Oryzias latipes: one gene and its partners. The protein of the gene in region 5 interacts with the protein of the main gene of each other region in a pairwise test. Links are inferred from orthologs where the notes say so. Each region holds a gene or a part of one and is shown on either strand. Other genes may lie near its edges.

The links.
Region 1: the proteins of mad1l1 (region 5) and tex11 interact in a two-hybrid assay, tested with the Homo sapiens proteins (2 studies listed by BioGRID and IntAct). The two-hybrid records come from large-scale screens. The link is inferred for Oryzias latipes from reciprocal best matches to the Homo sapiens genes MAD1L1 and TEX11.
Region 2: the proteins of mad1l1 (region 5) and bag5 interact in binary tests that used the Homo sapiens proteins (3 or more experiments, as listed by UniProt). The two-hybrid records come from large-scale screens. The link is inferred for Oryzias latipes from reciprocal best matches to the Homo sapiens genes MAD1L1 and BAG5.
Region 3: the proteins of mad1l1 (region 5) and tpm3 interact in binary tests that used the Homo sapiens proteins (3 or more experiments, as listed by UniProt). The two-hybrid records come from large-scale screens. The link is inferred for Oryzias latipes from reciprocal best matches to the Homo sapiens genes MAD1L1 and TPM3.
Region 4: the proteins of mad1l1 (region 5) and usp15 interact in binary tests that used the Homo sapiens proteins (3 or more experiments, as listed by UniProt). The two-hybrid records come from large-scale screens. The link is inferred for Oryzias latipes from reciprocal best matches to the Homo sapiens genes MAD1L1 and USP15.
Region 6: the proteins of mad1l1 (region 5) and cwf19l2 interact in binary tests that used the Homo sapiens proteins (3 or more experiments, as listed by UniProt). The two-hybrid records come from large-scale screens. The link is inferred for Oryzias latipes from reciprocal best matches to the Homo sapiens genes MAD1L1 and CWF19L2.

Annotation. Positions count from the first base shown.
Region 1 is NC_019868.2:11,386,560-11,391,957, forward strand, and holds the start of tex11 (testis-expressed protein 11), read right to left. Parts: upstream 3,692-5,398; 5' UTR 3,574-3,691; coding exon 3,531-3,573; intron 2,370-3,530; coding exon 2,257-2,369; intron 1,932-2,256; coding exon 1,847-1,931; intron 1,719-1,846; coding exon 1,639-1,718; intron 1,556-1,638; coding exon 1,475-1,555; intron 1,370-1,474; coding exon 1,250-1,369; intron 1,034-1,249; coding exon 953-1,033; intron 864-952; coding exon 778-863; intron 685-777; coding exon 627-684; intron 518-626; coding exon 422-517; intron 342-421; coding exon 260-341; intron 66-259; coding exon 1-65. UniProt on the Homo sapiens protein: Regulator of crossing-over during meiosis. Involved in initiation and/or maintenance of chromosome synapsis and formation of crossovers.
Region 2 is NC_019880.2:21,267,386-21,272,854, reverse strand, and holds the start of bag5 (BAG family molecular chaperone regulator 5), read right to left. Parts: upstream 3,689-5,469; 5' UTR 3,050-3,688; coding exon 2,994-3,049; intron 2,511-2,993; coding exon of another isoform or gene 2,382-2,510; exon of another isoform or gene 2,263-2,381; intron 2,128-2,262; exon of another isoform or gene 1,644-2,127; coding exon of another isoform or gene 1,621-1,643; intron 1,363-1,620; exon of another isoform or gene 1,196-1,362; coding exon of another isoform or gene 1,164-1,195; intron 1-1,163. Other genes in the region: apopt1 (apoptogenic protein 1, mitochondrial), read left to right, coding at 2,382-2,510, 4,373-4,570. UniProt on the Homo sapiens protein: Co-chaperone for HSP/HSP70 proteins. It functions as a nucleotide-exchange factor promoting the release of ADP from HSP70, thereby activating HSP70-mediated protein refolding.
Region 3 is NC_019869.2:21,743,386-21,747,814, reverse strand, and holds part of tpm3 (tropomyosin alpha-3 chain), read right to left. Parts: intron 3,596-4,429; coding exon 3,462-3,595; intron 3,297-3,461; coding exon 3,179-3,296; intron 2,732-3,178; coding exon 2,661-2,731; intron 1,765-2,660; coding exon 1,689-1,764; intron 931-1,688; coding exon 868-930; intron 761-867; coding exon 691-760; intron 509-690; coding exon 430-508; intron 1-429. UniProt on the Homo sapiens protein: Binds to actin filaments in muscle and non-muscle cells. Plays a central role, in association with the troponin complex, in the calcium dependent regulation of vertebrate striated muscle contraction.
Region 4 is NC_019881.2:6,925,901-6,930,844, reverse strand, and holds part of usp15 (ubiquitin carboxyl-terminal hydrolase 15), read right to left. Parts: exon of another isoform or gene 2,723-4,944; coding exon of another isoform or gene 2,541-2,722; intron 2,365-2,540; coding exon 2,217-2,364; intron 2,126-2,216; coding exon 1,952-2,125; intron 1-1,951. UniProt on the Homo sapiens protein: Hydrolase that removes conjugated ubiquitin from target proteins and regulates various pathways such as the TGF-beta receptor signaling, NF-kappa-B and RNF41/NRDP1-PRKN pathways.
Region 5 is NC_019859.2:22,994,185-22,999,128, reverse strand, and holds part of mad1l1 (mitotic spindle assembly checkpoint protein MAD1), read right to left. Parts: intron 3,575-4,944; coding exon 3,343-3,574; intron 1-3,342. UniProt on the Homo sapiens protein: Component of the spindle-assembly checkpoint that prevents the onset of anaphase until all chromosomes are properly aligned at the metaphase plate.
Region 6 is NC_019871.2:20,781,668-20,787,130, reverse strand, and holds the start of cwf19l2 (CWF19-like protein 2), read right to left. Parts: upstream 3,196-5,463; 5' UTR 3,157-3,195; coding exon 3,064-3,156; intron 2,218-3,063; coding exon 2,107-2,217; intron 1,091-2,106; coding exon 965-1,090; intron 1-964. Other genes in the region: alkbh8 (alkylated DNA repair protein alkB homolog 8), read right to left, coding at 4,355-4,996.

The DNA of each region.
Region 1 (5,398 bases), on a different chromosome or scaffold from region 5:
GAGCAGTCTCACTGTGTTCAGACACATGTCAAGAGAAACTTTAGATTCCAGCATCTCATTAAGACCTGAAAACACAGGTTTGTGATGCAACCTTATCTGTCTGTCACTCAAAGATTCAAATGACACACTAGGAAGCATCCAATCTAAGTGGTACAAGCTTTGTGACCACCAATATCAGACTCATTATTTCTTTCTATTCTATTTCTATTTGTGTTTATTTTTGTAGCACATCACTGACGGCAGTCAGATTATGACTGACCTGCTCTGACAGGGCTGTCTGGGGCTCTGCATCTGAGGAGAATTCTGATCTTTAAGTAAAGTCCAAACGGGGTCACACACTCCTGCCAAACACCACCATAGGAATAATCACTCTTCATCCTTTTACAATAAATATTTGACGTAATATTGCCTCACGTCCCACCTTGTTTGCTAAGCTGACAGTATTTAGAGCCTTTTCCTGAAACTTCTCACAGTCCCACTCTAAATAACACGTGGCGAGCAGCCGCAAAACTTTGGCCTGTTTATGAGTGACATTGTAAATATTTTCTTTTTCTTTTTAATGACTTGTTCTCAAAGATTAGCATTCCTGCTGCTAACTCTATTCATTCTGTCTTACGGGGTCTTACCAGAGCTTCTGATCCTGGACCATATTTCATGTTTGCTTTTCCAATGTCATAGCTTTGGCTACAAAAACAAACAAGGAGGAAGAGATGCATTTTTACCCTGGATTTTTTTATTTTATTACTTTTTATCAAACCACATTAATAAATCTACTACCTCAGCCAAAATGCACTGTCTTCAAACTTTGTCAGATTGTATGCCTCGATTCCAAAGTTGTAACAGACAACTGAGAGGTACGCCGTCTGTGATGAAAGCTCACACTTAACACCCCCCTCACTTTCAACAACATGTGCTTTGAATGTAAGAGAACAGTAAGGTAGCTGTGTTTTACTTCATTTGGCAGCCGCAGCAGTATGTCTTTGCATCGCTCGATGAACACTATGGCTTCTTGGTTGTTCCCTTGAGCGATAGCCTGTAACAAAGATCAGATTGTGTATTAAATGAAGGGAAATGAACTTCTCTCAATTAGCTATTTCAGAACCCCCCCTTCATTGTTTCTCAGTCACAATTTTACTGTCTTACACTTCACACTGCAAGTCTGTCAGAACAGCACCTCCCAAGCTGCAAAATATCACAAGAACAAATATTCACATTTAAGGTGTTGAACATCACATGCAGCACTGCTCACCGACTCAGCCTGGCACGACAGGATCCGAAGAAGGTCCTTCTCCACATCTGCCTTGGATGACAAGATGTCAGGTTCGTCATTGGCTCTGGACGTTAGCTGGCGGTAAAGGGTTTCCAAGCTCTAGGAATATACCATGTTGGATCATTTGTAAAAGAATAAAATAATTCCATCCTTCTCCTTTCAGCTAAAAACATTTCCAGATTTTATCCAACGTTTCTTTCTCACCTTGACGGCAAGTCTCAGAAAGTGATCTGCCATCTGAAAGTTTTTGCAGTTCAGCCAGGCTCTCCCTGCTTTGCTGGCCATCTGGAAGGATAAGATATCAACACACAGGCCTTATCCTCCTGAAATGCCAGGCTATAAAAAGGAAAACCTCCAGAATTACTTACCAAGATTTGTTTTCGAAAGGCGCCCTCTGTTGGACTGTCAGACTCAAAGCAGTACAGCAGGTTGCATGCAACATGGCGAACTGATGATGATAAAAAATATTAAATGAGGCATTAACCTTGCCTGTAATCCCCATAATTAGGTTTGTGTTTTAGAAAATCAAGAAAGGTAAACATTTAAAAACTATACAGACTGCAATTGGAAGAATACCTTTAGCTTTTTGGATTGCAGTTATGGCGTTTCCCACATTCTTGGTAACAGCCCAGTTCCACAACTGGACGGCACACTCCTGAATCTGTACCAGTAAAACAAGACACTAAAAACATGCCAATAACTTATATTATTAGACTTAAGCATTCAGTTTTACTACTAAAACTACTAAAAAGTAGTTAAGCTATAAAATAATTTCGAAGTTGCAGGTTCAAGATATGTTGGGATAGGGGGAAAAAATGTTTAGCTCCACATGAACATATAAAGTCAGAATTCTGAGATTAAAGTCAGAATTTTCTATGCCCTTTTTTTTTTTCTTTCTCCATGGCCCTAATCCTCTTCTGTACATATCTGTCCAGGACTATAGACTATATTAAAAATAGTACAATCTAAAACGATTGATAAATTACCTGAGGATCTGGTATTTTGAGAAAGGAATCTAAGCCTGAGACTTCAGAGAAAAGCTTCTCTATAACCTCATCGCAATCTGTTAGATCTTTCTGCTGTAAGTTTTCTGTGAGACCTGTGAAAAAGCAGAACGTTTGAAATGAATAGACACACTAAGAGTAAAAGATGTTCAATAAATATATGTGACACATCCAATAACTGCTCCCCTTGACAGTAACTTCTAGTTTGCCATAGCAGAAAAGGGTTCTGGCATATGCTTGTTCTCTTATGCTTTTAAGATCTGTGAGGCGGCAAGTTGTTGTATATGAAGCTGATGCAAATTACACCCTCCACACTTTTAAAAGTGGGTGTTAAAAAGAATTCTGTGAGTGAAGTTCACAGTCAAAGCATAATGGTAACTGTTATGTACACTTCTAAGTTATTTTTGTTGCTGCAAAGCCTCAAATCACACTTTTTTTAATAACTAGAGACATTTGTTTTTAGTTTGTTCTATTTTTGTTTTTTTCAAATCAAGCTGGACAGTGAAAAAAATTACTTGCCCTTTTTTCTTAACAATTTCCAAAATATTGATTTCTGCCAAATGTTCTTTATCGTATTTATCCAGGATTGAGCAAAAAAAAATAATATATATATATATATATATATATATATATTATATACACACACATATATATGCATAAATGTGTGGGTAACAGAAACAGACCCTCCAGCCCCCTGAGGCATAATGCTCCCGTTTTAAAGAGTAAAATGATAATTTTGTTAACCAATTCAAAATAATAAACTTTATTTATACCCTAAAAGTCTTGCCAGCCATTGTTCCACAACAAAAATAAAACCAAGCATGTCTGTCTGTCATAAAAACAGCTTCAAGATTCTCTTCGTTAACTTTAAAATTGCTCTCATGATTTCTGTATAGATTTTTCTCTGAATAAACCCAACATTTATATAATATTATTTATGGCAGTCTGCATGTTTTTTTAAGGTAGTTTTAAAGAAAGAAAAAATATAATTAATTTGTTTAAAAAATAAAGCAAACATTTTTTTCACTCGGACAAAGGCTAAAGCTAAGGTAGGATTTATGTGCTTAATTCATTTCATTAAACTAGCTTGACAAAATAGTACATGGCCTAGCAGATGGTTTAGCTAGGTTAGCCCCAGTTATATCGCGATATAACTCATTGATTACCCCCTACCCCTGCTGATGACGCAGTTACAATTATTTATGGTTTGTATCTGTAATTAGCCGTGTAATGTAGTTGAACCGACTTATACTCACATTTCACAGTCGAAATAAATTCTTCCATTTCGAAAGCTTCCATAAGCGGGATTGTCTGGAGGAGATGTCTCACCAAAGGAGAATTTACAATCGCCCGAAAATGCCCGCGAAAACGAGGCGGACGTTGACGCCACGGAGTTCGTACTATGTGAGGTCAGTTAATGCTACTTCCTGTCTGCGGACAAACTTTAACATTAAAAGAGCCTTTTGGGCAAGTTTCTGTGACCATTGACTGTAAATGCGGACCAAAATCCATTTAGAGCCGCAAAAGCTCACTTTATCAATTAGAAAATAGAATTTATTTATGTAGTTTTCAAATATTTACAGTAATTTAACTATAACAGTGTTATGTTTTTCTGCATTTATTAATTGTAACTTTATTTACTTTTGACAAGATCCTTTCAAAATAAAACACACCCTGTGTCAAATAGGATCCTTTGCTACAGGAGATTTACTTAAATTTAAAAAGATAGAAAGATAAATCCAATATAACATTTTCTATTATTATGATTTTGGTGGGCCTTCATTTTTTTTCCTTTTACTCTCAAATATTAAACCAGGCAAAACAAATCTATATAATGTAAATATAAACTTCTACAAATGTTCCTCCATGCACTTCCTAGGCGTTTCTTCTCTTTAACCACACACAATAGATTAAACCTTTTACTGTCATGATGCTCAGTTACCTGACATTTTAAAAATCTAAAAATAAATGACAAAACGTAATTAACTCAAAATAATCCTGACTACGACAAAACCATTATTTACGCAAATTATTAGAATTTTTTCAAAGCCAAAAAGCCATAATGTAGGGACAAAGAGCCACATTTGGATTTGGAGCCTCAGATTCAGACTCCTGATTTAGGCCTATTGACTACTAGGCTATATGTTAAAAGGGTTTAAAAAAGGATATGTTATTATTACTATTTTTCTTTTTTGATGTTATGTGCTAGTTCAATTGATAAATAAAATCTATGTTACAAGAAAGCAAATATCAGGTAAGATATACAAGGTAGAAAAAAGTAGCCATCATAGTGTAGGTAATATTTGCTTTCTTATATTCTGGCTAGATGATTAATTTTTTATATATAAGTATTCTTAAATTAGCGTTTAATGTAAATAAATAACAAAATAAATACAATGTAAGAAATAACATGGAAGGGCTTTTATTTTGATAGTTTTTTCTTTCCACTCAAAGACAAAAACTCATACACAAACACACCCATACACAAAAAAAATAATCAAGAAAATAATGTTTAAGACCAGCATGAACTGAAGGTTCAAACGTTTGCCGTTGTGTTGCAATCCAGAGATACTCAGGAAAAAATTAAAACAGTCTTTGGGACCACTTGCTCAAAAACATTGATGATTAAGCCATTTCTGAAGCTTTGACACTTTATTGAGAGCAAATCTCCTCAAACAAGGAAAACACAAGAACAGTTGTGATCCATCTCCAGAGTGGCCTGTTGAACAAATTACCACAAGAGTGCAGTAACTTATTCAAGAGATGTCAAAAGACCCTGCTATCTTTGAGTAAATAATCTAAGGACTGATTAGATTAAAGTCAATCTTTTCTAAAAAATACATTTGTCTACAACATTTGGTGTAAAAGTAACACAGCACGTGAGAAAACAAACATGTTACAGTGGTGAACCAGGAAGACTTGCTGTGGAACCACAGCTTCCAGTGTCTACCAACAAATCCTGAAGAGAAATGTTCTCCATCTGTTTGACTTTAATCTGAAGCACACTGGCTGATCCACCTTTTAATGCCTTAAAAAGGACAAAAAAGTCTTGCAGGAAGAAAATAGAAATATGGTCTTAAACACACTGAGGTTCAATTAACTAAAACTGAAAAGGAATGTTATT
Region 2 (5,469 bases), on a different chromosome or scaffold from region 5:
TATTTCCAATAATAATGTTCTACAAACGTGGACATTATTTTTTTTTTGCTTCTGTTGGACAGCAGCACATGCAAGTTCCCTTCAAAATAAAATACACCCTGTGTTATAAAAGAGATCTTCCTGCTGCAACATGATTCAGTGGAATAAAAAAAAAAACAGAACAAGAAAGTCAAATCAAACATGATCTTTTCTATCACCATGATTTTAGGGCACCATCATCTTTTTCCCCCTTTCGTCATTAAATATAAATATGACAGGATTGGTGAAGAATTCTTTTATTTAAATCTATACATGTAAATGCAGTTCTATCCTTTAAGAATTTGATCTGCAACCACTGTGCAGCAGAAGATCAGAAAATGGGCTTCAAGTTTATTCTAACAATAAACAACTTTGACAATCGTCTACACTTTACTACACATATTAAAGACTAAACCGAAATGACGAAAAAATTGACTAAATGGACCAAAACTGTTATTTATTCAACTCATTAGCATCTTTCTTCACAGCTAAAGAGCCAGAGTGGAGGATGCAGGAGCCTCAGGTCGGTGACCTCTGACCTTCACGGTACACGAGGGCATTTGAGCTGAATGGAAATGTAAAACCATCCATCCTGAGGAGTTTCCCCCCAGAATGAGACCCACATGCAGTCCTCTGACTCTGGCCTCATGCATTTGAGGTTCTGGATTCCCTCTGATGAGGAGAAAACAGCTCAATAGATTAGATGTCAGGTTTTCCACCACATGCACGGACACGCGCGAGCATCACTGCTGCACACAAGCGAAGCGGCCGCAACCTTTTCCTCCCGCGGCAACAATAACGCGTATTAACAAAACCAGATTATGCTGGGCCTCCTCTAAAGCGGGTTTATGTAAGAGGGCTGGACATTTCCAGAGGGGAAAGCTGCCAAATCTCAGCATTTATTAGGATAATCGGAGTCCAGTCCCCGCGCGGACGGCCAATCAGCGCGCGCCTCCGTTTGGTTACAGCAGCCAGAGAGGGCCTCTGAGGCGCACGCGGCCGTTCGGAACCCGAACCGGACGCGGTTCAACAGCCGCCCCGCCAACGCTAGTCCCCCGCGGGAAACCCTGCGTGGCCGCTGGCTCTGCGGGCGGACGAGCGTGAAGCCGAACCAGCCCCCCCGCCCCGCCCTGACGCCGCCTCACCTCTTCAGGACTCCGAACACGTTCGCGCACATTCTGAGAGATGTCTGTTTCCATCAGCAGAAAGCAGGCGGCCGGCGAAGCTGGGGAGCAGCCGCGTGCGCAGACAGGAGCCCGCGGAGGTGTCGCGATGCTCCGGCGACCAGCAGACAGACTCTGCCCGCCCGCCTGCAGTCCGGCGGCTGTCGCCCCTCCCACCTCTAAGCCACTACGTCTGCAAACATGGTTTTGTCCCCCCCCCCCCCCCCCTTCTTTTAAAATAAAAAAAACCCCAAACACTTGACCTACACGCGCAGATATTTGACTTCGAAAGATGAAATCCCACCACCGGGTCTTTTTCCAGCCCGTTAACACCGTTGTGAGCTGTCGGTGATCACCTGACTGACTCTGCCCCACCTTGACCGCATAAACTGCGGCTTTACGCCGGCATCTACCCGCCGTTGAACCGCCCCAGTCTTACCTGCATAACCAGCGAACAGCCATGTACCCCGCTGCGAAGGAAAAGCCCCAAACCTTCTGTTGAAGATCAACATTAGCCCGCCTAGCTGCACCTTCACGGACTTACTTTCCCGTCTCAGCCTCGCCACTATAGTTTCACGGAGTTCGATTGTTTCGCTGAATCTACCCTCCCACTTCGTATTTTAATCAATATTTCAATCTCTGAGTGTAACCAACAGCTACAACTATATCTGTACACATTCCTAACACTTTGGTTAATCTTGTTGGTCATTATCTCGTTTAATAATGAAGCTTTTATCAGTTCAGACGCAGGGAAGGTTGTTGTCGGCCAACAGCGAGTGCGCTCCATTTAATCACCAACTCTGTGCGGAGACAAACTCGACCCGTTTTGTTTATGTTTTATTTCGTTATCGCTTCTGATAAAACATAAATATAGCAGTGTTTTTAAATAACGTACTCAAAACGTAGTTTGTAGCTTTGGTACTTGAAGCTTTTGCGATGAAAAGTTTTGACAGTATCTTTCTAGAAATATGTTTTATTTAGAGTTTAGTTTGAAACCTCATCTGCTCCGAACCCGTCGGGCAGAGACTTGACTAACGGCTTGCGAAGGTGCTGTTTCCGAGCGTCTCTAGCCGTTTTTTGCAGCTCACGTGACCACCTGTCCTACATCCTCGCGGAAGGACATACAGTTGGGAGACATGGGTTGTTCGCCACCGTTGCGTGTTTAGCTTTTCTGCGTGACAGTGCCTTGATTTTGCGGGAATGACATTCGGGGCAGCTGGACGCTTGTCGTGGAGGAGCGCGCGGAACTCCCGCGTGCAACTGCTGGATGTAAACATCCGGCGCAACGGCTCTAATAATCCAACGAGCCAACAGGATAAAGCCGCCAAGGTGCGCGCGCCGCCGCAGTCCGTTCCGCGTTGGTGTTTTTATCCCAGGCTCCGTGCTCACATTACCGGAGGAATCAGAAACGCTGAGGTTCTGATCCTGCTGTGAAAACCAAGATAACGACGCATGCGCACTAGGTCTGCACAGCCAAAAAGTCTAATTGACCTGCAGGTTACTGACTGGCTGAACTAAACATGGCTTTAACCAACTCCTTCTATGTTTAGTGCTGCTTAGGCCTAACGGACAGGCTTTTCATCAGCAACCATGAGAGATTTTCACGTCATCTGGTTCTGAAGTTTCATTTAACGGCTCTAGATCCTCACAGAAAGGCTGCGAGAATCAAAAGACACCAGTAGAACCCATCTGTAACAGCTGTCAGTGGGTTTGTTTGGGCTAATGTTTCTGATTCACTGTAGTAAATGTAACCGTAATGATGAAGAAAGTCCAAAGACTTCTGCAGCTGAAGGTAGTGATGTCATAACGCACCTTTTTTCAGGCCTCTGGGTCCTGGATGGAGTCTTCCTCCTCCCTGCTCTCCTCATGCCTGCTCTCCTCCGTGCTCTTCTCCTGCTGCCGTCTGCTCTGCACTGATAAGCAGATGCCTCCAGTTAGACTGCAGGGCCTCCTGCATCCCTCCTGCAGGGCCTCCTGCATCCCTCCTGCTGCCCTCCTGCAGGGCCTCCTGCTGACCCACCTCAGCCCCAAACCGTAGGAACCTGAAGCGCCAGAGTCTGATGGATTCTGTTGGTTATTCTTAGATGCGTTCACATGCTTTGGCCCGGTTAAAATGGGTTTTCTGGAGTCCTCTGGTTCCCTCTGCATCATGCCTGGGGGGCCGTCCCATCAAAAACCCTCAGACTGCGCTGGCTCCAAAGGGCCATCAAAGCTGCAGACCTATTCTGGATTTTAAGTCTGGCCTTCTAATCAGAAATTCATGTACAAATGTATTTAGATAGAATTCTCTTTTATGTGAAGAAATAGGAAGAGTCCAATTGCCATAATAATGTTCATAGTTTATTTGCTTTTAATGCATTGAATAGTTGGCCCTCTTTGAAAAAGAGTTTCCTGAAAAAAGCAAACAGTTGTTGGTTGATCTTCTCCTAAAGTTCTCCACTGTTGTTTTTCCACATCCAAAGAATCCAAAGGGAACATTCTTAGAACATTCTAGACACTGGATGGTCGCATGACTTTATTCAAAGTCTGTCCACACATTGGACTGGAATGATGGACTGATCCGTGTTAATGACATCACATGTGTGTTGCTGTGATTGGGCGGTTTGACCTTATAGTCAAATAAACCTACTGTACCTCAATCTAAATGGTATTTTCCAAGATCAATATAATCGATTTTAACGATTTTTTTAATGGTAGAGGTCAATTGGAATTGATTACCCTCTTGGCTCAGACAGATCGATCTGGTGGGACAAATTAATTCATTGTTAGTTATCTTTTTGACTTGTCTCTGTGTTTTTAACTCTGGGGGAATCCACAGGATCAACTTTAGCTCTATGGTTTTTATTTATTTCTTTTTCTCTCTAGTTTTTCCTTTATTTTTAGGTTTTCATTTGAAGTTTTTTTTGGTTGCTGTTAATTGCTGCTTTCCAAAATGAAGAAACAAAATCAAATTTGCTTAATTACCTTTAAAAGCCCTGAAAAAAAAATGGTTGCTGGGTTCTCCAGGGTTAAACGAACACCTTTTTCTGGTGTTTTATTTTCTTTTTTTTTTTTACATTTTTTTGGTCACTTGTAAAGTCCATCTTTGGACAAATGCTGCAAACATTAGGATGTGGGCATGGGACTGCGGTTTGCAGTCCATCTGTTCTTAGTAAATACGTTTAATTATTGTTCATATTTCCATTTTTCAGCGGACACCTTTGAGACCGGAGCCCAGCTCTACACATGACTGGATCGGCCCCCCGAACCCGCTGTCCAACCTGCGGCCGATCATCTACCGCATCCCTGAGGAGGAGTCGGAGCTGGAAAAGAGGCTGAGAAACCTGAGGCAGGAGACGGAGGACTGGAACCACAAGTTCTGGACCCAGCAGAACCTCAACTTCAGCCAGGTTGAAACCAACATTTTTTACAAGTGTGCCATCCTGTCCAGACGAGGTTTTCAGGTTCCTCGTTTCCCGACATGCATTCAGGAACATCTCGGCATCGGTGGGAGCTGCAGGACACGTGACACGTCCTTCCTCGGTTAAAACGTCCTCCCCCACACAACGGGGTCCAACATGGCTGGACTGACAGCAGTCGCTCCTAAAAACCAGCATCAGGAAAACTGATGCTTGTGTTAAAGCAAACAAAACACCGATTTGACGTTCCTCTGGGCCGCTCACTTTAAAAAGCACTTTAACTCATTTTATCAGTGAATAACAATATTGTGAAAACCTTACATATAATAAATAAAGAAGAGCAGGACTTGAGTGACACTGCTGGTTTTTTAAATCAGTTATTTTGTCCTGTGTGTGTCGGTATTTGAGATTCACCACCAGAGGGCAGCAACGCGCTTCCTGCACAGGATTTCTGCAGAGCATCCAAAAGCATCACTAGTCTTTAAATGCATTTAACAAAACCCAGAAAACAGTCAGCGTTGTGCTCAGTAAAATTTTAAAATGATCAGTTTTAGAGAAATTTACTTGCATGGCTCTATCTTCTGCAAATTATTTGTGTGTAAAAATATCTGAAGAAAGGGGATCATAGCTTTTAGCAGGTCAGAGTTTCTGAAAACCAAGTTTTACTAAAAGTGTTTTGTGTGGAAAAAGTCTGGTACAAACACAGCGAAAGGAAACGTGCTGAGTTTGAATCCATAAAAACCAGACATTAGAAATAAAATGTTGCAGTGGTGTGTTCCGTTTCGTGTCATTTACGGGGCATTGGAGTTTTCAAATGAGTTGAGTTCGTTCCTGCAGAAACTGCTGTCAGCTTTCTGCTCAGTCATGTGTTTTGTTGTTGTTTTTTCTGA
Region 3 (4,429 bases), on a different chromosome or scaffold from region 5:
GCTACAAACGACAAAGCTGAAATTTTCTCTACAGACATTTCTGCCTAAAGCATACTGCACAATGTAAAAAAAAAAATAACCTAGGCTAAACAACTCAACTCATGACAAATTACAGCCCCAAATGCATCTGCAGCATGCTTGCTAATAGGATGCACCCTTATTGCTCACAGTGTTGCCTAAAGGATTTTCTTTTTTTGTGGCAATCTGGTTTTATTTTTAAAATAGTTCAGTCTTTAAAATAAAAGCAGAGTGCAAACAAACCTGTTGACTTGGATAAACAGCATTTGTTTGTCATCAGTAACAGTAACAATGCAGTTTTGAAGATTGATTGTATTTGCATATATTTAGGGTAAAATTTGTTTTAATGAGTTAGTCACATTTTCAGACAGGATGCTGAATTACTCTGGCACACAACTTTTCATTACTTACATAGAAGTCATGTCATTTAGAGCATGGTCCAGTTCTTCACTGATGGCTTTGTACTTCAGTTTCTGAGCATAAAGCTCATCTTGGGGAGAAAGGAAAACCGAATTACAGTGTGATAAAGTTTGTTTTTTCATCAACATTTATTTTTCTTTCATCAAGGAAAAGAATTTTATGGTTAAAAAAAGTCTTGTTTTTGCCATTTCATGATTTTAGGAATGACACCTTATAAAGTATGCACTTGGACACATGGAATGAGATCTGTACCTTCTAAATCATCAATAGTCTTCTCCAGCTTAGCGACAGATCTTTCTGCAAACTCAGCTCTGGTTTCAGCCTGAAAAAGTTAAAAAGTAAAACACTTGATGTACTGCACTGCTGACGGTAATTAAAGGGTAAAAATACATCTTTAGCGTGAAAAAGACATGTCATTTTTGTGCTCACCTCCTTGAGTTTGTCAGTTAAAATCTTGATTTCCTCTTCATATTTGTCCTCCTTTTGAGAGTACTGCAGAAAGAAATCCAACAGTTGTTAATGCACAGCAATCGCACAAGTCTACAGTGTAACAGTGTTCTATCAATCTATGCTGTACATTTAACCCTTGTGCTATCTTAGGCACTTTAACATTGGGAGTTACATGAAATCCTCTCCACCTTTATCCACCTTTGTCATGGTATGGAGAACACGTCAACGGTCATCTTGACCCCATTGGATAGCACAAGGGTTAATATAGTTTTGTGTTGTATCATTTAAACCAGGCAGAGACTTGGGTATGTGTCCAAAGCAAAAGATTGGAGCTCTTTATTGATAATCCCCAACTATTTCTAATCTGCTAAAAAAAAATGGATGACAAAACCAAGGCTCTGTGCTAAGACTGCTGCCTACAGCAGAAGATGGAGAGATAAATACAAGAAAATGGATAAAGGACATAGGTTATAATTGCATTTTACTTTACCATTAGACTACTTTGGGGTGTTGATGCATCAGTTTATTTGACTGCTGTGACAACTCAACCAAAACTAAAACAACTCAAGTATTAGTTAGAAATCTGTAAAAGATTTTAATTAGAGATTTTTTTTTTTTATTAGAGACATATCACAAAAAATCTACTGAAGACGTTTATTTAATTAACTGTCACGTTCCCACTGTGGGGCAATAGTGCCTGTAATTTTAATGCCAGATAAAACTACTATAAGTGATTTCTGGGGAATTTTAGGTCGAAGAAAAAATAAGAAGTCATGTTTGTGCTTGCAATGACTGCTTACTTTCTCAGCCTGAGCTTCCAGAGACTTGAGGTTGTTGGTGACATTCTTCAGTTCTTCTTCCAGTTCAGCACATTTACTGATTGATATGCATTTTAGAGGAAAAAAAAATCAGTGTAAGACTCTTTGAACAGAAAAGTGAATGGTCTACACTCCACAAGGTGAAAGTGAACTGCTGAGTCGTGGCTTAATGTGGCTTAATGCTCATGGTTCTTCCCTGAAAGGATTGGATTGTTGACATTTGGGTTTGCTTAAATGACATAGTTAAGTTACCTATTTTGCCACACCTCTGGAAAAGTCAAGAAATGAACTATTGAAACTCCACATCAGAACTTAGAACTGAAGAAGTTTCTCTAATGAGCAGCAAAACTTCTTTAAACATTCACCCATTTACACATTTCTCCACACACGTAATTTATTTGAATCTACCGGTACTTCCAATGATTTTTTTTTATATTTTTAGAGAAAATATTTAAAATGGTGTTATTCATCTGGTTTTCTCACCCATCAATTGGTCAATTTCAAGAAAACCCAATGACTGCATGGCTTAGATCAATAAATCTCATTATTTTTAATTTTCAAATTAAGATTATTAAAGATCATTAATTCTGCTCTTTTTCTTCCAATAAGGGAGATGATGCCCTTTCAAGACACATAAGTGTAAAACTTTTTAAATTAATAAAATCACATTATTAATTTTATAGTCCAGCTTGGGTCTAAACTTGACCTATTTGAACAGTGGCCAAGTCTGGGTCCCCCTGTGCTGGTCCCTAGCCCAGATAAAATACAGGGTTGTGTTAGGAAGGGCATCCGGTGTCAAAATCTCTGCCAAACCGACTGTGCGAATCAGTGAACACTGATTTGCTGTGGCGACCCATGAAGGGAAATGCCAAAAGGTGAACAACACCAACTAGATTAGCAAAAAGCTCATTTTTACATGAAAAGATAGGGTGAAGGCTTCAATTAAACACTCACGCCTCGGCAAGTTCTGCCCTCTCCTCTGTACGCTCCAGCTCCCCTTCAACAATCACTAGTTTACGAGCCACCTGGTTTAAAACAAGTAAAAGTCAAAACGATGTACAGTCTTTGTTAAGGTTTATATTAGTATTGTCTAAATATCTAAAAAAGAGTTTTGTTTCCACGGCTTACAGCATGGACAAAGTAGGTTTCAATGTCTTTTGTGTTATACCTGACCAGACAATTGTGCTAATAATGCAACTTTATTAGAACTTGAAGTAAAACATTCAGAAGTTATTAGTTGCTATAGTAGATAACATTATCTTATTTAGTTTAACTAAGACAATAAAAGATCGGTTCAATTCATTTTATGAGGATAAAAATGTATCAAAATATTTTATAATTACCAGATCAGAATGTCATATATTCTCAAAAGTCAGAAAACACGTATACCAAAAATAAAATAATGAAAAATAAAGTGCTTTTAGCAATCAGAGAATTCTGCTAACAGCTCTTAGCAACATAAACCAACTCACCTCTTCATATTTGCGATCGGCTTCCTCTGCTATGTGTTTAGCTTCTTTTAGCTGAATCTCCTGCAGCTCCATCTTCTCTTCATCTTTTAGGGCCCTGTTCTCGATTACCTTCATGCCTCTGTGCAGAAAAATATCACACTACGTTAGAAGTTTGTGCTCACATATTTGTGTGTATGTATTCAAACATAACTGGTTTGGTTAATTTTATTTCTCTGCTGAGATAACAATCTCTTTCCTCCTCATCCATGAGCAAAACTACACAGATTTCAGAAGAGGGTTATACCTTTCACTCTCATCTGCTGCCTTCTCTGCTTCCTCCAGTTTCTGTAACGCTGTTGCCAGTCTCTCCTGAGCTCGGTCCAACTCCTCCTCCACGAGCTGGATGCGCCTGTTCAGGGAAGCCACTTCAGCCTCAGCCTGACCAAAGGTAAGCCAAACAATGTGTTACTAATACGTGCAATGGTACAAAAAATGTTTTCAGGCAGAAAATTGAATGCAACAAGTTATTATATAGTAATAATTTTTAAAAGCCCTTTTTAAAACACCCAAATACACTTTATAAAGAGGTAAAGTAAAAAAGAAACAATAATATTTTGAAGAACAGAAGGAATGAAGAAACACATTCATGAAAGAATTACAATTTGAAAGAAAAAGCTGTTCAAAAAAGCTGTTCAAAGACTTCATCTCCCAGCAACCCCAGCAACAGTTTCTGGATGCCACACGCCTGACTTTCATTTGCAAATCACTCACAGTACACCTAAGCACTGAGCCTCACTCAGTGTGAAGTATTGTTTGTGCCACTCTGCCTGCATTACCGAGTGTTGTATTTGGACCCGATCTTCTGATTTCCTGACCCTTGTCTTTCACTCTGTTTGCCTGCTGCCTGCCCCAAATCTCGCCTGGATCCTGACTATTTCTGTTTCTTCTCTGATGCTGCCATGCTCTTTATTGACTCCTGCCTGCCTGACCCTGATTTAGCTTTGTGGACTTTTAGCTGAGCTAATAAACATGCTGCATTTGGATCCAGCCGTCTGCCCATTCTTGTGACAGAATACTTTGCCAAACATGGATCCAGCAGGAGCTCCCAGCCCGATGAACCCGGTGGGGTTTGCTTCTTTGTTGCTGGAGCACAGTTGCCACCTCCCTCCAGGAGTAAAGATGCAAGAATTATTTAAAGACTTTTGGATCTGAACTGGACTTTTTCTATAGCTTTAGTATTCTTATGTAATAGGTGACAAATGGATTTATATT
Region 4 (4,944 bases), on a different chromosome or scaffold from region 5:
TGTGAAGTAGCGAAACCGTGAAAAGTAAACCGCGTTATAGCAAGGGATCACTGTACTGAAAAATATTTTGTTGTGGAAATCAGACAATGTTGACTGTTCCCTTTCTATATTTTAACTTACCAAAATAAAAGAGAAAGAAAATATGTTTCAGTAAACGAATCGTATCGCGGGGCACATATCGGGATAAATATCGTATCGCCAGACTCTTGCCAATACACACCCCTAGTCTCCTGTAGCCTAAACCAACTGTAAAGTCAAATTCAAACCTGCCGAGAAAACAAGGACAGATTGGAAATCGACAGAAAAGGCGCTTTTTCTTTTCCTAATTCTCCCTCCAGGGGATTTGACATGAAATCATAATAAAAACATGATCTTGTTTTGGATTCTTGCCTCTTACTCATAACAATATAAATCCATAACATACAGTTTTCATAAATGTTCTATGAATTAATTTTGTTCGTTTCCTGAAAACATATTTTGACTTTAAACCGGTCCGTGATCAAATGTAGACGACACAAGGAACAGCCCGTTAGCATAGCGTTTAGCGTGATAGCATCTTAGCGTGATAGCATCGTCGTGTCAGTGTAACGACACCGCTTTTTATTAAACGTTCTGTTGCTACTGTTAGTCCAACAGGTCTATCCTCCAATTCTGTCTGGGTTCTGTAAAAATGGTCACATGTTCCGCTTAGCGTAAACTAAAGCTACACGGAGATGATTAGCGGAGGTTACGGAGTGATTCATGCGGCGTGTGCGCTAGTGTTTATTTATTTTCCTCAGTCTCGCGGAAGTAGCTCCTCTTTGCCTCTCAAAAGTAAATCGTCTGGACCAACAAATTAACCGCCCAGCCCTAATCTAACATTAAACCCACTGAGTTCCAGCTTCAACCACATAAAATCAATTGTCAGTCGCGATACAGATGTCGCCAAGTTGGAGCCAGAAATTTTCAGTGAGCACTGATTGGTCCAAATTGGTTTAAGTCAAGACGTTTCTATGGCAACCACCGTCATCAATCAGAAGTGAGCTTGTTGAAAGGGGGTTTCACAGACTGTCAATCAAATGTTATTTAGGCATCTTTTTTTTTTTTTTTAGTTTTTGACTCGCAGTAAAGGGAAAAAAATATTAGGGACGTGTTTAAAAAAACAAACAAAAGTAGCAGAGCAAGGAGGATTCTTCTAAAAAATATAAAAGAGTGAAGCTACTATTACATCGCTCTCCGCAACATGCGCTCAAGTGACCACTTGCATTTGAAAGCCTATGTTCGTGCATTTTGGACTTCCGTGTTCAAAAGTCTGGCATTCACCGGTCACTATGCAGTTTTTCCACCACTATGTACGAAACACGCAGCCATTGAACACGCATTCAAAGGTTAAACCAGGACCAACTGTGACCAATCAGGGACTCAGATTTGCTATTGACGTATGGATGGCGTCCTCTTTAATGCACAGAAGTGTCAGCTGTTTAAAAATTGATCATAGAGGAGAAATGAATAACAGCGTTTTGTGTCCGGTGTGAAGTCTATGACGGCAAGTCTTTCATATCCAAGAACAAAGCTGTGATGGAAAAAGCCTGGAGCAAGATTCACGAGATTTATGCCGCTACGCCTTTTCACACAAAGCCTCGTTCAACTGTAGGTGGTGGACATGCGCCAGTAAACAGTCAAAAAATAAAAAGAAAAAAATGCCCCTCCCTGCCTTTCCGGTGTGAACACCATGGGGCTAAACACGGGTTCAAGAACGCACACTCTTGAACGCGCGTCACACGTGTTCGTAGCATTATAGCTGTTTATTTCTTTATAGAAGTCTACAGGATTTTGGCTTTTTGGAGTCAGCAGGTACTTCCTGTTTGGAGCATGAGAGTGGGAGTTCATTTTTCATATACAGTCAATGACTAAACCACAAGCTGAAAAAGGTCGTCTAACCCCTACAAGGAGAGAAGGTTCTGGTGATCACCTTAAAGGGTCTCGGGGTGACGTAGCTGTACTTGCCCGACCACAGCTGTTTGATGAGTTCGGCGTAGACTCGGGCGATCTCCCCCTTCATTCCCAGCGGGTTGTCCTCATTCAACTCGTCTGTGTACTTGTCTTTGAGGAAGTAGTCCGTCAGCGGAGGAGTGTTGCTTAAACACTGACGTTCAGAAGCAGAAAACACACAAAATTAGCGACCATCTCACTTCTAAACTACAAAGGAGACTTGAGGAAGGTTCTCCAGACCGCACCTGCACAGCAGAGTTCATAAAGCAGGTGTTCCCTAAGTTGGATAATCCACAGAGTCCTGAGCGCTCGCTGGGTCTGCTCTGGTCGGAGTAGTCGTAGCTGTTGGTGTAGGGGTGGTAGGACGGCAGACTGTAGCTGGAATTCTTCACACTGCACCACAAATGCAGAAAAAGCATCGCATTAGACTGAATTTTTAATGTAGCATCTACAAACACTGACTTCAGGACAAACATTTGATAGCCTTTAGGACTAAACCAACAGCAGACCCCTCCCCAGACAAAAAAACAAACTGAGTTTTCCGGAAAGAATCTGGGGGCTCTTTCCACCTGCAGCAAGTAGCGGACCTCTGAGGCAGAGCGCCGCCGCCCGCCTGCGCGTCCCAGCGCTCGAAGGACACGGCCGCGATGGTGGAGGCGGGCGCCTCGCAGCTCAGCACGTGGTGCTCCACCCTCCGGGAGTCCAGCTCCACCGCCTCAGGCCGCAGGCACCACCAGCAGCAGAGGAGCATGACATCCCAGCTCCGCCCCGGGCCCGGCCCACACCGGCCCGCATGTCAGCGGCCCGGGCTGAGCGGGAGGCGCATGTAAGGGCGCGGCTCCAGCGGGAATCTAACCGGGATGGATGTCATGGAGGCCTTTTGAAGTCCAAAAAATCTCTATATATATAAAAAAAAAAAACTTCTGGATGTCCTCCCCTCGGTAATTGTTGTGAGCTTGCCGTCTCCTCGCCAAATCCCCTCCCTCTGTCCTCTGCTCCTCCCTGCGGCCCGTCTGCTGCTTTCCACTCAAGCCTGCGGATATTTATAGCAGCGATGAGGATGCTCAAGACTGGAGGTGCGCACAGAGAAGGAGGGGGGGAGCAGCCTGCATCCAGCTGAGGCTGCAGTATTCACCCGTCTGACTCGGCGCTCTCCCTCAAAGTCATTTTCTTGCACAAGTGTCCTGACGCTTTCTCACCACGCCCTTACAGAACAAATGTAAAATAATAATTTTTAAAAAATCCTCGCTCTCCTGACGCCTTCAGCCCCTCACATATCAAAACCTGAAAATCACGGATTCCCTGAACGATTCGGTGGATGAAATGAGCCCTGAAGGTCACTCAGGACCGCAGAACGGGTGCAATAAGCTCGGGGTAAGGGGGGGGTAGGACATAAAGGGGAGAGTGGAGGAAGGAGAAAAAGAGCTGAGAATCATGGGAGCATCGCTGCTTCGGCTAAAATCGGTTATCCAATACGGGAACGCTTCCAATGAAGGAGGGAGCAAAGCAGGAGAGAAGGAGAAAACCAGCCCCCATGCATAATTAATAGCACTGCCATTAATGAATGAAGGAAGAGTTGCTCATTTTACCCATAACCCCCTCTTGTTACGCTTTTTTTTTTTTTTTTAAACAACTACACGACTCCAAAATAAACACATTTCAGGAGAACTGGGTTATTCCTTAGGAGAAAACTGACAGAACAGGAAGTTCACTCGTGGATTTCTACAGATTTTCTTTCTGCATTCTAGTTGTGTGCGCAGAAACGAGTCGATGTCACACACACAGGCGCACAAACGTGCACTAAAACCCAAGCACACACACAGGTTGGAAGGAAGAGTGAAGTGGAACGGCTTCTACGACAGCCAAGCAGCGCCGTCCGTCACACGGCCGACTGACAGGAAGCAAACGCTTCCAGGAAAAGACAGACGAGTGAGCCGGCGTCCCAGAGGACGCTGAGGTTGAGGTGGAGCTGCATGCCGGAGCCACGCCCATTTACAATCTACCTCCAAAAAACAATACAAATCATGAATTAATTAGAATTCATCTTTGGATTCCTGGGCTTCCATTGTTCGGACTACGGTCAGCCTGTCCGCATCTCGCAACGTGCAGACGTTCAAATGGAAACTAGCAAAGAGGAGCTTGTTCCTGAAGGAGGAAACTTTTCTAGTTTGGCTTTGCCCCCCTAGACTTGGAGCAACAAATCCCACGCTCCAAAATCTGTTTAGCTCCGTACACATCTGGCATTTAACGTGCATTCTTGAACGCTCGTTTAGCCCAAAGTGTTTACACTGGACAAGCAGGGAGGGGCTTCTTCCTCTTTTTTTTAACTCTTTACTAGCACATGTCCGCCACCTACAGTTGGAAGAGGATGGTGCAAAATATCAAAGCGGTGCAAATCATTGCATGTTGGGTGCGACACGGAAAACTGTTCGGTTCATCTACGGCGCCCTGGCAATGGTGGATTAGGTTATGAATAAATCAGGAGAGTTTATTTGAAAAACAGACGCAGACGTCGTCAGGCTCGTCTCCGTGTCTGAGCTGACCAGATGAAACTGCGGAATTCGGCCAGTTTCTATCAAATTTGAGTCGCTGATTGGTCAAAGTTTGACCTGGATTAGCTGGTAACGTGCGTCCAATAGCTGCGTATTGTATGTACAGCCCCAAAAGGGTCGTAACGCAGAAGCTTGAAACGCACATGTAAGCGAGTTTCCGAGCGCGGTGTGACGACAAAATCCCAGCAGCTCTCTGTGAGAAGCTCACGCCAGCAGCAGCTCACAAAACCTGCGTTGTGTTGATTTACATGCATTTTTTTACTATTTGTAAATATTTCGTTGCACTTTGAATTCAGGAAACTCGCAAAAAAGATTTTTATAAAAGGTTTTTGTTAAATATATTTCACATTTACTGGACATTTTTGTCTGATTCACAATTTGAATAAGGAAATACTCAAAAATGAAATCTTGAGCTTAATTT
Region 5 (4,944 bases):
CCTCTGGTGGTAGGCAAGGGCCTGTGTTTGGCAGCGGAGCCGCCATCAGTGTGTGAATGTGTGAGTGAATGTGTGTGTGACTGGGTGAATGGGTCTGTGACTGTAAAGCGCTTTGTCCTTGTAGGAAGAAAGGCGCTATACAAGTATACGCCATTTTAAATCATGTGAAACCAATTTTCACAACAAAATTAATTCTGAAACTCAAAAAAAAAAAAAAAAAAAAAATGAACTGAATTAGGCCTGCACAATGTATCGCAAATATATCGTTATTGCGTTATCAAGCTGTGCAATATGCATATCGCAAAAGACGGCAAAAATGGCAATAAATGGTTACCTTAAATGTGCTAAAACAATCGCATGCCAACTTGAAAAAATTTATAGAAACAAAGAAATCCCTTTATGTATTTGACTAATCGAATGGACTCCTTTACATCATAGACCAATCGGATGGAGCCCATTTATGCTCTATGTTTTTCGCCTTATTTAGATGTGGGTCATTTGAAATGTAATTTTTAAACTGTTGCAGTGAAATGGAAATTATGTTTTGGTTGTTTTATATGTTTATATGTTAATATACCGCAAGTTATATCGTCATCGCAATATTAATCACTATATCGCAAGTTTTCCTCATATTGTGCAGCCCTAAACTGAATAGTATAAGAAATGAATCAATACTAAATGGATAAATATTTATATTGAATGAAATCACTATAAATCAAAAATTGACCAATGAATTTAGATGTCTGTGACATCTACACCATCAGCTCAACTGGTATTTTACTGTCTTGCATTTATGTCAGAGGCAATACTATTTTTGTAATGTGCTCTAAAGAATTGTGTAAAATTCTTTAATTTTTATGAATTTATCTATTTGTTTGACGTTTTGTTTCAATGCAACTACAATGAATTGTTACAAAAGGCTTAAGAAACTCATAAATGTAACAAGTTAGTTATCTGCACAAGCTTTAACATCAACTGGTCAGGACAGTTACAGCAGTTTTTGAGTTAAATTAATAAAACATTTAAAAAAACATGGAATTTTTAAACAGAATATCACGTTTTGACATTTAAATCTATATATAACAGAATAGAATTAGAGACTAGACAATGTTCAATAATGAGCACCAAAGAGAGCTCACCCGATGGCTTTCATAGCACAAAGTGTGGTTACATTACCAACTGGAATCTTAATTGTGAACTTTTACTGATATGACTTCACAAACCGGTAGCCATTACATGAACTAATGAAACTTTATTATTTGATTTAAACTCAAATCTGTGCAACAGAGAGTAAACACATAAGTTCACAGGCGAGCTGGGGCCATATAGACTCCATACAGAGTCAAATGAAACTCTGATACAAGCTATAATTAATTCCTGTTGCATAAGAAAGTCATAATCCACATTGATAATACACACCTAAAATAGATATTCCAGTAGCACAGCCCAGATGTTCTATACTACAGTGTTCCCTAGTTTATCGAGGCGTAAGCGCTCCATAAATAACCTGCTATAGATGAAATCGGCAAAGTAGGGTTATAGAGGATTTCAAGTTGTAAAACCCCAGATTACACACTTTATACACTTTTCTCAGACAAACATGAATATTTCCAGACTCTCATTTAAACTCTTCAAGCTCAAATCTCCTTCACATCGAAAAGAGCCTGTTGAGGTGGCTCGGGCTTCTAGTCCGGAGGCCACCTGGACGCCTCCCTGTGTAGGTGTGCCAGGCATGTCCCACGGGGCGGAGGCCCCGGGGAAGACCCAGGACATGCTGGAGAGACTACGTCTCTCGGCTGGCCTGGGAACGTCTCGGGTACCCCCAGAGGAGCAGCAGGAAGTGGCCGGGGCGAGGGAAGCCTGGGCATCTTTGCTTAGACTGCTGCCCCCACGACCCGGTCCCGGACAGGCGAAAGAAGATAGATGGATGGAAGCTCAAATCTTTGTAGAATAATAAATCACATCCAAAAACAAAGATCTGCTCACTATCGAAGATTGAACACTTTCATACAGGAGACCCGGCATGGAGGAGATTGAATGACAAGGTCAACAGCCAATCAAGAAGAAGAAAACAGTGTGTTGTAAAAAAATATGTAAAAAATTGTGATACAGCAAGAGTGTGAATGGTAAATCGTGATATAGCGACTTCAATGCAGGCCTCCGCGTCGTCCATTAATTTCTGTTATACCATGGTCCGGGTGAATACTTGATTCTGATTGGCTGTTGGGTGTGCATTAAAAAGTGATATACCACAGGATAATCGCACGGTGAAAAAAGAAATTCTGATCACATAGCTTAAATGTTTTGTATTACTGCGGCAGCTTCTTTAGAGCAACCTTTTGCTTCATCATTAGGACTAAAAGTAAGAGGTGAACTTTCTCTCTGAACTGTGTTGCGGCGCCACGTAACAAATAGTCCGCTTTTTGTGAGAAAAGCAATCCAAAATCAGAAAAAAAAACAAGAATTAAGGACTAAAAACTGATTAATATTTATTGCTTTTGTATGGTATAAGCGGGTTAATTGCCTTCAAAGTGGGCATTATCAATTTTTAACGCTTTACGTCGGAACGTTCAGGCTTCCACGGCGTGCGCTAAAAAGTGATAATGTATACTTCGTCGGCCATTAACCCTTACATGATAAACATCTCGTCAGACATTACCCCTTACTTAAACTGATGGATGTAATAGTAAAGATTATGAAACAAATGCATGAAAAGATAACTCTGTGAAAGTGACCACAGTAGCAGAATTCAGAGGATTACAGCGATAGATTACAAAGACGGTCCACCCACTACATATTAAACACTGAACACTGCCTCAGTGGTAGTGAGCCAAGTAAATCAGCAGATTTTGTTCATAAAATGTCTAGCAATGTTCATTTGGTTAAAGCGTCGATACAGCATGAAAGTTAACTGATCACACATTCAAATTTTGACCTGTGGATTCACTGAATCCTTTGCCACAGACACCACACTGACTATGAGTCGGGTGGGCCAAAGAGGTGCTTTGTTTCTTTAAAGGCATACGTTTGGAAAGCATCAAATGAAAAACTTCAGATGGAAAAATATTTAAGATTTAAAGCAAATTTAACACTTTAATGCCCTTCATTTTTGCACTTTTGTTGTTTCCCCTTCAATTATTCTTTACAACCCTGCAGACACCCTGAATTTTCATATTATCGGCAAAAAAAACGAACAAAAAAACGGATTTTACACCTTTTAAAAAAACACTTTTCTTTCTTATAACTGTGTTGTTTTCCTGCGATTTAACTGCATGCCTTTTTGAAAATCCAAAAAGGCAATGATTTATGAAAGGGTCTGTCACCATGTCTGAGGCATCTTACCCTGCACCTCCTTGGATGGCGGTAAACTGAGGCTGATATTGGGGGTGTAAATGCCCGAGCTGTCTTGTGCATGCAGAATTCCACCTCCTTCCTGCAAGGAACGTACAAGTTCCCTCAGAGTTGTCACTTCCTCTCGAAGAGTCTCCACTTCCTGCTGCCGCTGTTGCTTGGCAACACTGGAGGGGTTCATTCTAAAGTGAAGAACTCTGGTCTTTACTGGATCATAGTCTCCCTGAAACACAGAGTAATGCCAATCAATGAAAGAGCAATTTAACGCAAAACTCTGCTTCTTAAACCACCTCAAGACTACATATTTATGAAGAACATATGAACTAAAATGTACTGCAATCGGATTTTCAGGAATATAACAGATGAAATTTTTTTTTTTTTTAATTGCATCATGTCATCCCATAAGAAAAATCTGTGGTTTTATGTTCTGTGTTTTATGACCAGAAAAACTGTAATAAATTAAAGACCACATCTTATAGGGCTGCAAACCCACACTTTATATATATATATTGTGGGTATATATTGTGGGTATAATATAGCGTTGTTGTAGATTTTTTTTTTTTTTTTAAACTAGGCCTACTTTTTTTTTTTTTAGCATCATCTTGTTAAAAGATTTTCAAAATCGATTAAGACACATTCTAAGATGATACAATTTTCCCCATTAGAATAATAAATCTTTGCAGGAGGAAAAAGCAGATGATAAAAGACATACCGGTTCATGTATAAAACCAGCATCTCTCCGTTAACAGAATGGCATAAAGATGTCCTATCACTCTTTACGTTGTGTTAAAACCTAAGAACATCTTAATAAAGCTTGCTTTTCTTGTCAAAGGGGTCTAACAATTAATATCAACATTTGTGTTTGCCAATACAATTCATAGTCAATATTTGATCCTTTTGAATGATCCGATTTAATCCGATTCCCTGACGTAAAATCGATCCAGGACATCTTTAGCCAAAACCTCAACTAGTGTGACTCAGAGATGAATACCTGGATACTGAACAGTGCAGTTGAAGTTTACCAGATTCCTTGTATTTCTTGCAACATAATCCAGTGTAAATTAAATGTGTACAAAGTTCAGCCCACTGTTGTTGTTCCACAACCAAATAATCCAAAGGGAATATTATTAGAACATTCTAGCACACTATATGGTCACCAGTCTTTGCTAAATTCAAAGTGTTTCCATACATTTGACTGGAATGATGGACTGATCATTTCATTTTTTGCTGTCATCACATGTGTGTTGTCTGCTGTGATAGTACTTGGTCGTTCTTACCTTATAGTAAAAATCCAAATGTATTTTCCAAGACAAATTCCTTGATTTATCTCATTTTGAAACTTTTTTAGTTTTTTACCCCCAATGGTATGGGTCGATTTGATTTGATACGACTAACAACTTGGCTAAGAGAGAATGATCTGGTTGGATAAATCAATTAATTGATTAATCGTTGCACCCCTGCATCCCATATTGTTTTGTTTTTTTTAACCTACTACCGTATCACTGATTAAAGTTTGCAGTACGAAATTAATTGATAGTTTGTTAATTTTTTTAAACTGCCTTATGATAATTATAGTTATATTAAATGTGTACA
Region 6 (5,463 bases), on a different chromosome or scaffold from region 5:
CCGAATTGAGCATTAAGCCCTGCAGTGTGAATGTAGCCTTAAGGCCCGTTCACACCGGGACGAATTTCGCCGGCAATTTTCGCCGACGTTTAACGCCTCGTGACTAAACAAAGGGCACCAATGAGAGTGTGCACACCGACGCGAAAAAACGCCACGCGCCAAAGCGTCAAAAAAAAAAAACGCCTCGGGTTCGTTTTTTTTTTCGACGCGTCGTGTCGAAATCTATTCGACCAATGAGAATGCCGCTTTTGCACACGTGTCTGGAGCTTCTGAAGTTACAGTAAAACACAACTTGGGGGCGCTCAAACACAAAACTGCCTTGCTGAGCACACATACCAGCGAAGAAGATAGACGCCAAGTAGCGTCTACACTGCTGTGAAGAAATAATGACGGACATTCTTAAATATCCCCGAACCAAGTACCAGTTGGAGCTACTGATGCTTGAAATATTCATGTTTTCTTTGTATGATTCTGACAAGCGCGTAAATACTTGCTCACTTCTTCTGAGTGAAAAGCGACTTTAAGAAGCGTAAAGGTGCGCAGCGCCACCTTGTGTACAGGAGTATTTCTGTTTACATTAAGCGCCATCTAATGTCAGGGAATGAAATTGCATGTTCGCTCGGCTCACCGTCAGCGAAAATCGCCTGGGTGTGAACACAAAAAACGTGGCGAAAAACGCTGGCGAATAACGCCTGGCGAATATTCGTCCCGGTGTGTACGGGCCTTGAGTCATTTCGAGTCACCCAGCCATTTGGCTGTGCTCTGGACGCTGCAGGGGGAGTGAAGAATCCTGGGCGTTCTAGTGTTAAATCGTAACTAAATTCTTCACCTGAACTCAACCCAAAAATATTTTTTCAGTTATAGAAATTATTAAAACATCTTTGTTAAGAAACCACTCAGAAAAACTTGTTGACAGATCATTTGTGTGTTTGTATCTCAGAGTAATGCATGGAAGACGGTCTACCTCTGAATCCACACTTGAAGCATCTCCTGCTTCCGTTTTCCTTTTCTCTTTCTTGTCCTTCTTCTTCTCTTTTTTCTTCTTGGATTTCTTCTCCTTTTTCTTCTTTTTGCTCTTCAAAGATCCATCCTGGTAAATGTTTGAATTTAGTTCTTTAAATGGAACCTCAGTTTGTTTAAAAAATATATTTGAATTGAAATAAATACAATTAGCAGGAAAAGAGTGAAGCTGCCAAAATTCTGCATAAGCAAATTTTGAAGCCACTTCTGCAAACATGAAGATTTACCAGCAAACGTTTAGCTTGAGTACAGGAAAAAAAAAAACAACTACCCAATATGTTGACATAAAAAAACAAATAAGTTTTCATGGTTTAAAAAAGATGAAAACTGGTTTGCTGTGAAGCAGGTGGTTTTAAATTCTAAAATGATAAATAAAACTTTATTTCTCCGACAATGGCAAACTCAAAGCAGCATGTAAGGAAAAAAAGATGAAAATTAGATTAGGTAAATATAAAAATAAGGCATAAATACTTTCTTAAGAAATGTGCCACCATTGGCATGTTTCTTTAACAACCTATAGCTCTAGAAAATGATTAAACATGATTCACGTCCAACTGCAGTCATCTTTTGATCCATTTTCAAAGCATTCCCAGTGGTATTTTAATAATAATTATGCTCTTTTAGGCAAAAATTTATAAAATCTGTGTTGTTTTCTAGGACAGTTTCTGCAGGGTGGCAGGAGTTCATTAGAAATTCACCTCGGAGTTGTGGGTTGGACTGTTGAAGTGCGCTCATTACCCATGAACCCTTTGTTTACACTCCCTCCAGCTAGCTCACAGCCCCTCACAACCCCAATCTAACATTACCGGTGCAACAAAACTGGCGAGCAGTCGTCCAGTTTTAAGACAGATTTCAGCTCAGACTGTCTGCTCCTGATTCACAACAATATGAATACAGAAATACTCAGAAATGCATTTTTAATCTCAATTTTCTTGATATATTTTATTCAACATGAGAAAAATGCAACAAAAACATGTTAAAAACAACATAAATACTATACTCATTGGAGTGGGTCTTTAAATGATGTATTTCTGTCATTGTGCTGCTTATTAAATGTCTTTCTGAAGTGAAACAGATACAACTTACGTCTCCTAACTGCTCCAGTCTCTGGTTGACTTCAGGAAGTATCCAGGTGTCCTCTCCTCTCTGCCTCTTCAGCTCCTTTCTCCTCTCCTCCTTCTCATATTGTTGCTTAGCCTTAAAAAAAATAACATTTATTATAATATCTACAGCATACCAGTATTTGTGGTTTTACAGAAATGTACTCACACATTATGTTAAATTATGCTGAAGTGTCTAGAAATAAATGGTAACACTAAACAAAGATTTGAACAAAATCTAGACTTCACATACTATTTTGGGATTATAAGTATAAATGTGAGCTGGAAAATTGATTACGATTATATATTATATTCAGATTATAAAAACAGCACAGAAAGTAAAGAGATTTGGCTAAATATGTTTTGCTGTATATCGGTTGAAGATAAATGTATAGATTGAGTTTTCCTCAGTTCTGGGCTCCACTCGGTTGTTGTCAGTTTCCTGGCGCTTGCGCAGAACAGATAAGAGTCTACAACACATTTATGTGCATTTAAAGGGAACAGCTGTAAGTGCTGCGTAAATAGCTATGTTCATGTTTGAATACAGCTATTAAGATGTTCTTGTTTTCTATCTGTGGACAGTGAATAACTACAATCTGGACAAAATGTAAACACGAAAAAGACAGGCTGCCGCCGTCTGCTGTGCTATATCGGTCACTGACTTTCACCACTTTCAGTGTTTGTGTCATATTTCCCTGCAAGCGTTCAGGGAGCATGCAGCAATGGTCCAAACAGGAATAATCTGAAAAATGTCCCGACAAGCGCTTGCTTAAAACTTCATCACGACAGCAAACCTTCTCAAAACGTCACATAGTCCCGGTTGACTTGATCGTTGATGGTACCATCCTTAGCATGTCGGTTAGCAGGTCAATCAATGTAAACAAAAACAAACGGCGGCGCGGAAATACTTCACATCTGCGTTCTAAAGAGTCCTAGTTCGTACCTTTTGTATCGCCTCTTGTCGCGCCTGTCGTTTCTTTTCTTTCGCTTCTTCGATGTTGCTGGAACTCTCAAAACTGACTCCGTACGCCGCCATAACTACGTCGTACACGGGTCTAGCCAACTGTCGTAAAACATCGCTGTTTACGACAGTTGTTTTGTGGTTCTTGTAGTTCCATTAACCCTAACCCTTAATGCCTAATTTTCCAAAGAGCTAAATAAGATGATTATGATAAATATAAGGCCCACTATCATTATTTTGTTCTATAGTTTTCAAGCATTACATGTGCAAATTAGCGGCTTCAGTGTCCAATGCAGACCTCTCCCATCATCTGTTGTCACCGTTGTCAGTTCCTGGAGTCCAAACCAAAACGGAGAAGCTGCATTCAGCTTCTATGCTCCACAGATCTTCTGGAACAGACTTCAGGAAAGCCTTAGATCTGCTAAAACACTCAGTTTTTTTAAACCCATGTTAAAGGCCCACCTGTTCTCAACAGCATTTAATTAATTTAACTTCAAAAGTTTACATCAGCACCGTTACTCTAAGCTTATTTTAATTTCCGTTCTTTTTAACTTTCTTTAATTTTTATTTTAATAATCACCCCATTAATATCTCCAGTAAATGTTTCCTTTAATGTTTTATGTAAGGCACTTTGAACTACCTTTGTACATAAAATGTGCGAAACAAACTTGCTTTGAAAAAATAAAGTTTGATTGATTTGCCTTAATGTTGGAAATAAAACAAAAAATCTGTGCTGGCTGCTCTCAATTTAAAGTCCCTGATAATTTCAAAGCACAAACTGAACTTAAAAGGAGACCAAAAATCACTTAGATGTGTTTCTTTTTCATTTATTGAATGATTTTAAATCCAAGTTGAAAACTCCCTTTTTCCCTCTGTCTTTTAGCTCAGTATGAGTTGGTGATTTTATTGATGTTTCTTACTTTTTTATTATGTTGTTTATTTTAGATTGTTGTTTTTTTTTAATCTTTCATTGTTAAGTGTTTTAGTCAGCCTCTGCTGGGTTTTTTTTTAAAGCGCATTATAAATAAACTTGACTTGACTTGAATTTTTAAAGATAAAAGAAAAATAAAATGATTTTTAAAATATGAAATACCAACAAGCAAAAACGAACAAAAGAGTCACAAATATCAAAGCCCTGTAAAAGACAGTTTCTCAAAAATCTACATTTATTAATTTCTCTTAAAATCTCAACAAGAACATCTTTTCATTTTGTCTCACTGTTCTGTTTTTTGTTCTGCCAAGTTTTTATTCGCACAGACATATCTTTCTGCATTCATTCCTTCTGCAACACAACACACCAGTTGCCCTGGTCATGGTAACTGCTCTTCACTTTGACTCCAGACACCTGAGCACACAGATGCTCCAGCTCCCCCTGCTGGAAAACATGGTAATAGCGATGAAAAACTGGAACTGTGCTACTCTCCAGTTTCAAAGCAGAAGCTGAAGCCTGAGGGAATGCTGGACTCAGCTTAGCATCTGCACGCTGGGAGGAGTTTGAGTCCGACCCCAGGCTTGAGTCGGGGCTGGAGCTTAAGTCAGGGTTTTCCTCTAGCTGCGATTTCCCTCCCTTAAGATGCCAGGGAACCAAAAGATCCTGGGAAGTAAAGGCTGTGCGGTTGGTGTGCACACTGAGGCGAGCATCAGGAACTCTACTAACACCTTGCATGTCAGAAGGTTTATGGCTGTTTTCTAAGTGGCAGGAAAGATCAGATACTTTTTCTCCACTGGATTTCTGGCTCTTTTCTGACAGTAAGTTGGTGGAACTGAACTCTCCATGGTCTTCTTTGAAGATTTGCTTGAGGTATTTGGACTTCTGCTTGTTGTATTCTTGTTCAAAAGCCCAAACATAGATAAGTGCCTGACCTCCAGGCTTCAAAAGTCTCACCAGCTCCTTCACTGCTGCCAGTCGGCGCTCCTGGTAAATACAGGAAAAACATTCAAACTCATTATTTCAACAAGACTTTCGATTAAAAAAATCTAAATTTGACAACAAAACAATATAAAAATGGAACTTTGTTGCACATCAAGGCTAGACAAACTTGGAACTTTAACATTTATAGAAATATTCATTAGCTGGACCAACAAACCTCATTGTAATTTAAAAAACTATTAAGCTTTTGTCAAATTTAAATATTTTCCACACTCAATAAAAATGTCATAGCTATATGTAACATAAAATAATAATAACTATAGTTTTATTACCTATTTTGAACCATTTGTTATTATAATGTGAGAAAAATTACTGCTGCATCTCAAAGATGGCGTTTTGTAGTTAATAGAATTTTTTTTTTTTTCCATCTGAGATTTTAGTATTTTTTAAAGCCATTTTCCCACATAACTCATTGTCTGCAGATCTTTGTGGGTCTAACAAAAAAAAGAGGC